Linked DNA regions of Caenorhabditis elegans. The protein of the gene in region 2 purifies or fractionates together with the protein of the main gene of each other region. This does not show direct contact. Each region holds a gene or a part of one and is shown on either strand. Other genes may lie near its edges. The genes, in order: ugt-44 and pho-14.

Region 1 (4,626 bases), on a different chromosome or scaffold from region 2:
AGGGGAAAGAAAACGTATACAACAAAATCATGGGGTAGAATTGGTGGATGATAAAACGATCCTGTACACCATTAATAGTTTGTGGGATCAGATTGGGGGAATGAGAACGTAAAGGTGGAAGAATTTAACCGGGTAGCAAACACAGAACAATTAAGTTTTTTCTGGAATGAGCTTTGTTAGGCGGTTCCAGATGGCAACAGTGAATTGGTGGAATCCTTTGTTTGTTGAGCCAACAGATCTAAGCAACTTTGAAAAAGGCTTGTGTAAAATGTGGTCTCAGTTTGATCACACATATAATTTTATACAACACTTGATGTTTGAACAGGGATTAAACAAAACTTGAATAAGAAGTTGTTGAAGCTGCTAAATAGGCAAGAAGTTTAGATTTTAGATTAAAATATCGAAATAACTAAAAATTAAAAAGTTTGCAAAACAGTGCGTATACTTTTAAAAGTGTCCACTGGAAGCTTCATCCTTTGAATTACAAAGCATTAAAAAAACAAAATTGAGAAATAAATCAATTTGTCTTGATAGCTGATAACAATATGTAAAATTTAAATGCCAAAACTTCGCATTTATTTTTTTTCCTGTAAAGGATGCAAATGCGAAACTACTAAAATGCGATAAATTATAATTAGTTTATTATTATGACAGTGTCAAATACCCATATAAAATACAACAAAAAACTACAAAAAACTACAAAAAACGTAGTATACGATTGAATGATCACACATAATTTTAGAACAAATTAATCAAACTTAAACTTGATCGAAACCAAATTAGTCAAGTTATGGGATGCTCTTAGAACCTTCGAAACGATCATGTACAAAGCAACCGAGAAAATTGAAAGGATTGCCATAAAATCGATATAGTAGAACTCGATGAAGCTCATTTCAGCTGCATATGAATCAAGTCCATGTGGTTTTCCAAATCTAGCAACAAAGTTGAAATATTTGATAAATATCTCCTTTGGTGACTCTGGCTGATTTCTCAACATTTGCGCCAATTTCTCAGCTTTCATGGAATAGCTCTTATCGTTCAGCATTTTTCTGATAGTTCCTCTGACTTTTTTAAAGTTAGTGAGATCGTATTTCGTGAGAACCAATGCAACTTCATGTCTCTCCAACATTCTTGCGTTTCTCGTTTGATCACCAAAAACTGGAACCATTATCGATGGTTTTCCACTGAATGCAACTTCATTTGTACTTCCCAATCCACCATGAGTAACAAAAAGAGTCAATCTTGGGTCGGCTAGAAGTGCAGTTTGTGGCATCCAATCAGTAAGCATCACATTATTGATTCGTTTATTATACTGTTTCACAATATCGACAGTTGTGTTCTCGTATTTCCAGATAAAAGTGGTGTCAGGCATACTCTCGAAGGTTTTGATGAGTGATTCTCTGAAATAAATAGAAAATTTAGAAGGGAGTTGAAAACTATTTCAACATTATTGACATCATGATTTTACGATTTTACGTCTTTCCAAAATAGTTAATAGGAGTCATGTCTTTGTCTTACAATTTCAAACCTTATCAAAAATTACCGTTTCGTCTCTAAATTAAAAGTGGGATGATAAAATTCTTGAATGAAAAAAACTTACTTCATGTCATCTGACATAAACATTGACTTTGCATTAGTACCAAATGAAATGAGAACATTTTTTTTGCGAAGTGACAAAACTCTATCGTACTCTTCAGGAAGACGTTCTTGTTTGACTGGCCCAGATGAGATTCCTCCAATTTCAATGAACTTTGATGTGCGGGGACTTGGAATATCCATTTGTGGATTACTGTTGACAAACATATATGCATTCTTTCTTGACAATTCTCTCCATCCTTTTCCATTCTTGTAGATTCCTTCAATTCCTGCCAATTCGTTCTCGTAGATTTTACTGTTAAAGTAATAATTGAAGTAAGATTCTACATAATTTTTGGCTCTTCCGATTAATGTCATTCTTTCAGATCCACTTGAAAATACAGCAGGCAGGTAGCTAGTAGAAATAGATGCTCCGTGTGCAATTTTTGAAACTTCTAGACCAAGATGGGAATCGGTGGAGATTGTTGTTTCAATTCCAAGATGATCAAAAAGAGCAAATCCACAAGTGTACAGAGGCTCTGAGATAGCTACATCAAAACGTTGATCGCGAAGGTAGTTGATGAGATCCTCATTTTGGAATACATCTAAAAATAACATGTTTTATTTACATTTAGGAATATTAAAAAATAAAACTCACTTTTACAGGAAGCTTTGCAAATGTTGGCTACCTTGGTTCCGAGTTTCAAAAATCCAATGATTCCCGAGTTCATAACCCACGTATTTTCGCGGCCTCCTCCAGCTCTGAACTGGGCATTTGCTTCAATGAGTTCCTCACTTTGTTCGACGAGAATTCGATTTTTTATTTTTCTAACAAGTGGAGTGGTATCCCGAAGTCCTTCGTCAAGAATCGGCAACAGAAGGGTCTACAAAAAAGAAAATTTAAGAAATTGTACATACAAGAATTTCTTATGTTGTAATATTCCTTAAAAAGTACAGTAACCCAACTCACCACATTATATCCTTCATCTTGCAATATATTAGCAATTGTTCCCATGAATTTAAGATGAGAATGTCCACTAATTGGCATAAAAACCAATACTTTTTTGGGTCGTTCAATACCATTGATAGTCTGTGAATAGTAGACAATGATGAGTAGCAGAGCATACCAAAATGTGCTCATTATGTATGTTTAGTTAGCAGAATGTTAGCTGTGTGTGTGCTGCTGGGTTATCAGTTCGGACAACGTGAATTTATATGGACGCCTCTGAAGCTTCGATGATTCAGGAGATGCACGTCACCGCAGATAACGTCATTGATAAAATATCTATTGATTTCGGGGTATTTTTCGGAACACCCCTCCGGTTTGGGAGGAGCTTACATTAGGTATATGGTAAGAGGTCTGGAGCCTTGAAGCCTGGAGCCTAGAATGTTGAGAAGCCAGACTAGACGGTCATGGGGAATGTAGATTAGTTTTTATCAGGAAGGTGCATATTTCGTTATTCCGGTTCTGTCCGGAAGGGAAATAGAAAGTGCAGTTGATTTGGAGGTTCGCTGTACGCAAAAACTTAACCCGGATTTTTAGTTTCATGAGTACTTTTTATTTGTAATTGCACAAATATTTCACGTGAGCTAACTCGAACCATTTATGATTTTTATCTATTGTACCACTGTACTGTACCTTGAAAGTTCCATTAGAACTGATTGCGTCAATGATTTTTTATTTTGAAAAAGGAGCATTATCGAAAATTAGATTGGTTCATTTCTAAAATAAAAAAATTCTCAAAAACCATAAATCATATTACGGTAATTTTTTATGCTCTTTCTAGAAAATGTATTCTTTCTTTTTACACAATTACATTAGCGGAAAGTGACAAACTTCCAAAGCTCTAACCTAAACTATGTATACATGTATATTCAGAAAATTCCTCCCGGAAAATGTTAATTTTCCCATTAAGAAGAAGAGTTGAAATAATTCTTGACATTTCATTTCTCATTTTCCCTGATTAAAATGCAACTTTTTTTCAAAAAAAATCATCTGCACTATTATCATTTTGTGTTCCATAAAATTATGTCAATCTTCGTCATCGCCTACGCTAGTGTCCATTTTCGTATTGTGGTCTCCTCCGATGAGCACAAATTACGATTAGGCGAAAAAGTGACGCGAGGTCATTTTATGTCTAAAACTCATTCACTTTTCATTACTTGCTCCTTTGGTTTACGTTCCCCAAAAAACCATTATGTCCTACTTCTGGTAGGCGAGAGAAGTGGGCGAGAAACATCCGTGAACATTTTAAACATTTTTGTTTACAACCACATGAAGGAAGCAATCAGTAAAACATTTTAATAATTTTCATTTTATCAGTTAAAAGTTAATTAAAAAAGGACGTAAGGAAGGAATGCGCTAAATCTTTGAGATATGAATAATTGGACATGTGGTCGTCGCGGAGTACCAGCCAAAAGTAGATGTGTTTTCATTTTCTTTTTATTCTTAAAATTTTCATCGGACACTTTAAGTCAGAATTCAACAACAGTTGTTTTAAAAACTGTTCAAAAAATGCAAAATCGAATATTTACCGGTTGTTCATGATTTTGCAAAATATGTGTCATTTTTGGTTTGTAAACGATCGAAAAAAGTAAAGTAGAAAGAAGAAGAAGTAAAGAAGAAGAAAGTAAGAAAGAAGAAAGAAAGAAGAAGAAAGAAGAAGTAAACGAAACGAATGTTTTTATGATATTATTGCACCGTATATTTTACTTCCTTCTATTGCTGAAAAAAATTAAACATCGAATACTCGTCGAACAAAAGTGAGACAGCTTCATGAAAAGGTAGGTTCAAGGACGAAAGAGCCAGGCGTCGCTTGCAGGTAGTTCTATTTTGCAAGTAGTTTCAAAAACAAGTTTTCGTCGATTTTTGTCTCGAAATGAACTTGCAATTTGAAAACTACAGTACATTTTGTTTGCCCTTTTACTGCAAGAAAATCATACAACTCGACTTTTTTTAGATAAAACTTCCGTGACCCATTAAGTTCTTTTTTTGAAATTGATTGGCTGAGCCTGTTGAGCAAAACTCAGAACACTGTAATTCAATACACT
Region 2 (5,517 bases):
AGATCAATTTTTTTCGGAAAAACTTGACAAAACGAATATTTTTCAGCGCGTTCGCAAGGGGCTCAACTTGGATGGTTCCTTCGAATCCCCAGCCAAAAAGAACCTGGTGAACAACGCCGAGGAGCTGAAATTCATCGAATCCTCTTCTCAATAAACTGAAATTTTCAGATTTTTTTTTTGATTTTTTTCGAATTTTTTTTCATTTCGACCCCCCCGCAATACTGAGATTCTTCAATGATCTTTTGCTGTTTATTTCTTCATATTTTCCCTGAATTTTGTCCATTTTCAGACAAGCTTTATCTTCTCCTCTTCCCGTTCATTTTTCCATTCCAATATGAGCTTTTTCTATTACTTCTCCAGCTGGTTACCCCCCTGACCCCCGTATTTTTCAACAAAAAAACCGATTATCAATTGAAATTCACTTTGTTACACAATTTCCACTCAACGAATTTTAGTGTTATAATTTTTTAACTTCAAAATCAATCAATAAACTCTTAATCTGAAAATCTGGAATAATCTTTCTCGAAATTTTCAAAAATACTTTATTTCACCAAATTATGCTTCTTTATCAATTATCTCTGATCTTCCACAAAGTCCGATTTTTCTCCGCCGACTTCTTCGGAGCACACTCCTTTTGCAGGTTGACTGGTAGGAATTTAAGACTGCGCTGCTCGAAAGTCTGAAAAATATTCGGTTTTTAATGTTTTCATAGAAAAACTCGAGATCGGCATCAAAGTTCCGGAATTTTAACACCCATATTCACCCGGTTACGCCAAGTTCGAGTTTTCAGCGTGCGTTGCGGTCGCGTCGCGGTCATCTGAGAACTAAATGGACGCGGAATGAGGAAAATTAAATTGTATTAACAGAACTGGGTTTCTTTTGAAATTTGATGAATTTTGACCCCCATCTTGACATAGTTAGGACAAGTTTGATTTTTCACTGCGCGGTGCGGTCGCGTCGCGGTCATGCAAGATATAAATTGTCGGGAAATAGTAGAAATTGAACTTTGTAAAGTTTTGACACCCATATTGGTTTAGTTACTTCAAATTTGAGTTTTCGCGGTGCGTCGCGGTCGCGTCGCGGTCCACGGAATAATCAACTTGATGGGGAATGAGCGAAATTAACCAAAAGCCAAATTTTTGGTAGAATTCTGATTTTTTTTTTACAAAAACACACTAAAAACTCACTTTCAACGGGCAGAACTCTGAATTATGGGGACAACCCTTTGCCAGATGGGTGATGACGTGGTAGTTGTGATGGAAAGCGCTGTGGAACAGAACCTGAAGCACTTTTTAACCAATTTTTTGTTTAGTAGGTCAAACTACAGTACCCTGACACTTGGTCCTCCATTTTTCAAATTCCAAAGTTCCACTGCAACAGAGGCAGTGTAGTGCGGCATACCGCCTTCGATAACTCGCTCCTCGTCACCAAAAGTGGTCAGGAAGGCGTAGACAGTTGTGTCGTGCTGCAAAAAAAAATGGGAAAAAATTATTTGGCTCCGGGTGGGGTCGAACTTTGGTGTTGTGATTGGAAGGCATCCCTGTTACCAGTTGAGCCAAAAGCCTAATTATAATTAAGCTTTTTGGCTCAACCGGTAACAGGTTTGCTTTCCAATCACAACACCAAAGTTCGTCCCCACCCAAGACCAAAAATTTTTTTCAATTTTTGTTCTTTGTCAAATATCGATTTTTCGATTGGTTTTTATATTTTCTTCCGAATTTTTCGAGTTCCACACTTACAGCACTATAAGCATGATACTTAAGTTTTCCAATCCAGCTGCAATCTTCTCCCTCATTATTTTTCGCCAAGCAGCTCAATTTTTGATTCATTTTGTCCATCATCGCACGCAAAAGAGGGCCTACAACATATTTTATAAATTTTCAGACAAAAAATGGCTTGAAACTGTACCTCCTCTCAGTCTGATGAGCTCCGGGATGTAGGGGTCTCCAATTCCAAAGAGGAATCTCGTGGACACTTGCGACAAATTTCTGAGCTTGATTTCCACGTCATCAGTGATCCATTCAGGTTGGGACATGTTGTAGAGCTTCTGAAAATTGGAAGTTAAAACAAGGAACCGCGACGCAACCGCGTCGCACCACTGAAAATTTCAAAATTAAGCTATCCTAGCCGATATGGGGCTTAAAACTTCGGAAATTTCATGTAGATTTCAAAAATTTTAATTAAAAAAAACTCCCAAACCTCAATAAAATGCACATCGTTGACCATATAAATCTCGGGCATGATCACTTTTTTCCCGGATTTCTCGGAGACAAAATCCAAAAACTCTTGATTTTCAGCGACAAACTTCTGGAACCCGGAGCCTGCGTAGATTTGTCTAGTGAGCTCCTCAGCCCGAGCACACGGAGCAAACACATTTCCAACCGGATCATCTTTTTCAGCCAAAGTGTGAATTGGGATCGGGGTCCAGTTGGTGGGCCATCTGGAATATTTTTGAATTTTTTTTCGAAATTTTTTTTTTTTGAATTTTTTCCAATACCTCTTGGAGTCCGGATAATCAGCTCCTCGATTTCCATTTTCAAACATTCCAGCCAAATTTGCTAGAGCTGAAACCAACGTGCGATTTACGTCAGTAGAACGGATGTAGACCTGCGATTTCAGATACAAAATCAGCTAAAATTTCAGCCAAACCTCTTTGGAGTTGTAAGAGGAGCTCAAAAGTTTGCTGGGACCCGTCGAATTCACATATTTCTTGTATAAAAGTCGTCCCAGGGCGTATTGTTGGCGCATTCCGAGCTGAAAAAATATTTAAAAATTTTTTGACCGTGCTGGGGGTCGAACCCCTGGCCTATTTCTCCCAACCATCTCTGCTACCAGTTGAGCCAAAACTAATTTTTAAAATTTGATTCTAACATGCTTTTCAGGCAGTATTATGTGATATATACCGTAACTAGGTCAAACAAAAATTATTAACCAGAACGGGAAATCGAACCCATGACCTACTGCTCTCAGCCATCCCTCTTACCAGCTGAGCCACAGCTGCAACTTTAAAAAATCTGGAAAAATGACTACCAAAGGGAAATTTTACGAGGAACCCAAAAATTGCAATTAAATTTTCTGAAAATTCCTACCTGTGTCAGTTCTCCCCATCCATTTGGCCAAGCCTCTTCCTTATGTGGATCCGTCGGGTAGGTGCCGGTTGGGGCTCGGTCTCCGTGCCGCCAGACCACTTGAGAGAGCAGAAGCTCATCCCCGTCCTCCAGTCTTCTCTTCTTATACTCTCGAGGTCTGTGTATTGGAATGTCCTGCTCAGCTTGGACAACTTCCTAAAAATTTAGATTTCAAAAGTTTTAGGCCTCAAAATCCAACAAAAAAGTCTTACCGGGTCCGCGTGTCCTAGATATTCCAGGGTTAAAGTAGCTCTAATTAAGAAAAAAATTAACAAGATTATCCTCATACTTCGGCTGAAAAGAATTTAACTTGAAGCAAAAAGTCAAAAAAATCTGATTTAAAAATCTGGAAAATGATTGAAAAATTGAAAGAAATGAAGAACGGAGCACCGGCTTTTTCAATATTACACAAAGTGGGCGAGAGTGAGGTCAGTAGGGGATACCCAGAGAGAAATGGATTCAGGAAGACGCTTGTGATGAATTTTTGTAGGAAAAATTGATTGAAAACTTTTTTTTTAAATCTGGAAAAAAATGTGATTTTTTCTCAATATTTCTCAAAATTTTCTTTACTTATACTATCTCAAAAAATAATTTTCAGTACTGATAAAACAAAATAAAAAATTTTGTCCCTACCGGGGTTCGAGCCCCGGACCTGTGCGTCATAGATGCACCTCCTACCAGTTGAGCCAAAAATTCAATTTTTCAATTTTGATGTACCCCGGAATCAGAATTTTGTGGGGATTTCGAATTTTTCCTTCTAATTTTTATAGAATTACTGTTAAGCACGCCAAAAAGTCAAGTTTTTATTTATCTTTTGAAAAAAAACCGGAAAAAAAAACATTTTTGAGAATAAATTTTTATTTTCAGTTTAATATAAATGAACGAAATCCATTGTATAATATTTATTAGGAAAAAAAAGTTATCCAACAGGCAAACACGGCGAAATTTCATAGTTTAACGGGAGGTTCTTCGCCATGGGACACCATTTCTGAAAATATTTATGTTTACGGAATTTTTCTTAAAATTTCAAAAAATCACTGATAAAAATTGTGTCTTCTACCCAAATTCCCGCCCACCCACCTGATTATCACCGATGACTCGTCGATTTTCGCAGTTTTTATCAGTGAATTTGAAAATTTGTGCATTTCCGGGCAGTTTGTAGCATAGCTGAAATTATTTGTACTACTTTCAATCAAAAGATAGGATGAAAATTACAGATTTCCGACAGAAAGGGGCCAATTTCAAGCCGATCTTGTGTTTTTCAGCGATTTTCAGAAAGTCTTCGCAGGAGTTTTCGAGGAATTCACAGCCGAATTTTTTTCCGTAAGAATATTGATTGGCTTCAGTGGAGATGAAAGTACCGTTGATGTGGTACCATTGCCTAAAAAAAATTTCAGCAAAAAAAAGCTGAAAAAAACAAATTTTTTTAAAACAAATTTTTTTTTAAATTTTCAACTTTCTCAATTTTCACTAATTTCAATGAACAACAATCACTGTTTAGTACTTAGCAAAGAAAACAAAAAATGTTGACCCTTACGGGGGTCGAACCCCGGACCTATTGCCCACAAGTCAACCCTCTTACCAGTTGAGCCAAAACTCCAGTTTTCAAAAATCCTAAAAAAAAACTGCTTTCTGGTCAGAATTTGACGGGGATTTCAAATTTTTACGTTTAAAGGTAGCTAGAATTCAGTTTAGGATCAGAAAACTCAAATGTTCAATTTCACTGAAATTTTTTTTTCGAGGATCATCAAAATGTTAATTTTTCTTACTTGTTACGTCGGTTCGAAAACAAAAAAAAACAATTCCTAACACTAAAAAGTAAAACAAAAAATGTTGACCCTTACGAGGGGTCGAACCCCGGACCTATTGATCACAAGTCACACCTCTTACCAGTCGAGCCAAAACTCCAAAATTTATTTTTCTCCAAAAAAATGGTTTCTACTCAAAATTTCATGAGCATTCTGAATTTTTACATCAAATCTTGAGATTCACTCACTTTTCACCATTAAATGTCCTCTCAATAATTCCGACAGAAATCCAACTGAACACATTTCCATGTGGCTCCAAATGTGTAGTCATAAGCTCGTTCTAAACTTCATTTTTCTGCTGGTTCTTGGAAAATTTCATAAAAATCCTTACCCCAAAAATGTACTCATTCAGGTGATTTTTCAGCTCCCCATCCGCCTGGACTCCAGCCATATTCTGACAGTTAAAATGAATTTTTGCAGCTTTCAACGAAAGCTCATCAAAATCCAAAAAATGCCGAATACTTGGGATTTTCTGATTGTTGGCACCATGCCAAATATATTTTTCGGATTTTTTCTCAGTCAGCTTGGACTTATCGATAATTAGGCCGTAGCCTAGGCCATGGAGAATTTCGTGGCGGAAA

What was found.
Region 1: the proteins of pho-14 (region 2) and ugt-44 fractionate together in Caenorhabditis elegans (co-fractionation; one large-scale study listed by BioGRID). This does not show direct contact.

What each region holds. Positions count from the first base shown.
Region 1 is NC_003282.8:10,467,898-10,472,523, reverse strand, and holds ugt-44 (glucuronosyltransferase), read right to left. Parts: upstream 2,784-4,626; 5' UTR 2,717-2,783; coding exon 2,546-2,716; intron 2,460-2,545; coding exon 2,234-2,459; intron 2,181-2,233; coding exon 1,601-2,180; intron 1,401-1,600; coding exon 749-1,400; 3' UTR 625-748; downstream 1-624.
Region 2 is NC_003280.10:1,097,398-1,102,914, forward strand, and holds pho-14 (Histidine acid phosphatase), read right to left. Parts: upstream 3,423-5,517; 5' UTR 3,416-3,422; coding exon 3,341-3,415; intron 3,285-3,340; coding exon 3,090-3,284; intron 2,755-3,089; coding exon 2,650-2,754; intron 2,608-2,649; coding exon 2,498-2,607; intron 2,441-2,497; coding exon 2,200-2,440; intron 2,048-2,199; coding exon 1,909-2,047; intron 1,859-1,908; coding exon 1,740-1,858; intron 1,466-1,739; coding exon 1,331-1,465; intron 1,281-1,330; coding exon 1,188-1,280; intron 680-1,187; coding exon 569-679; 3' UTR 530-568; downstream 1-529. Other genes in the region: snf-3 (Sodium- and chloride-dependent betaine transporter), read left to right, coding at 47-154; T13B5.9 (Leishmanolysin-like peptidase), read right to left, coding at 4,048-4,116, 4,209-4,295, 4,344-4,509, 5,125-5,216, 5,268-5,517.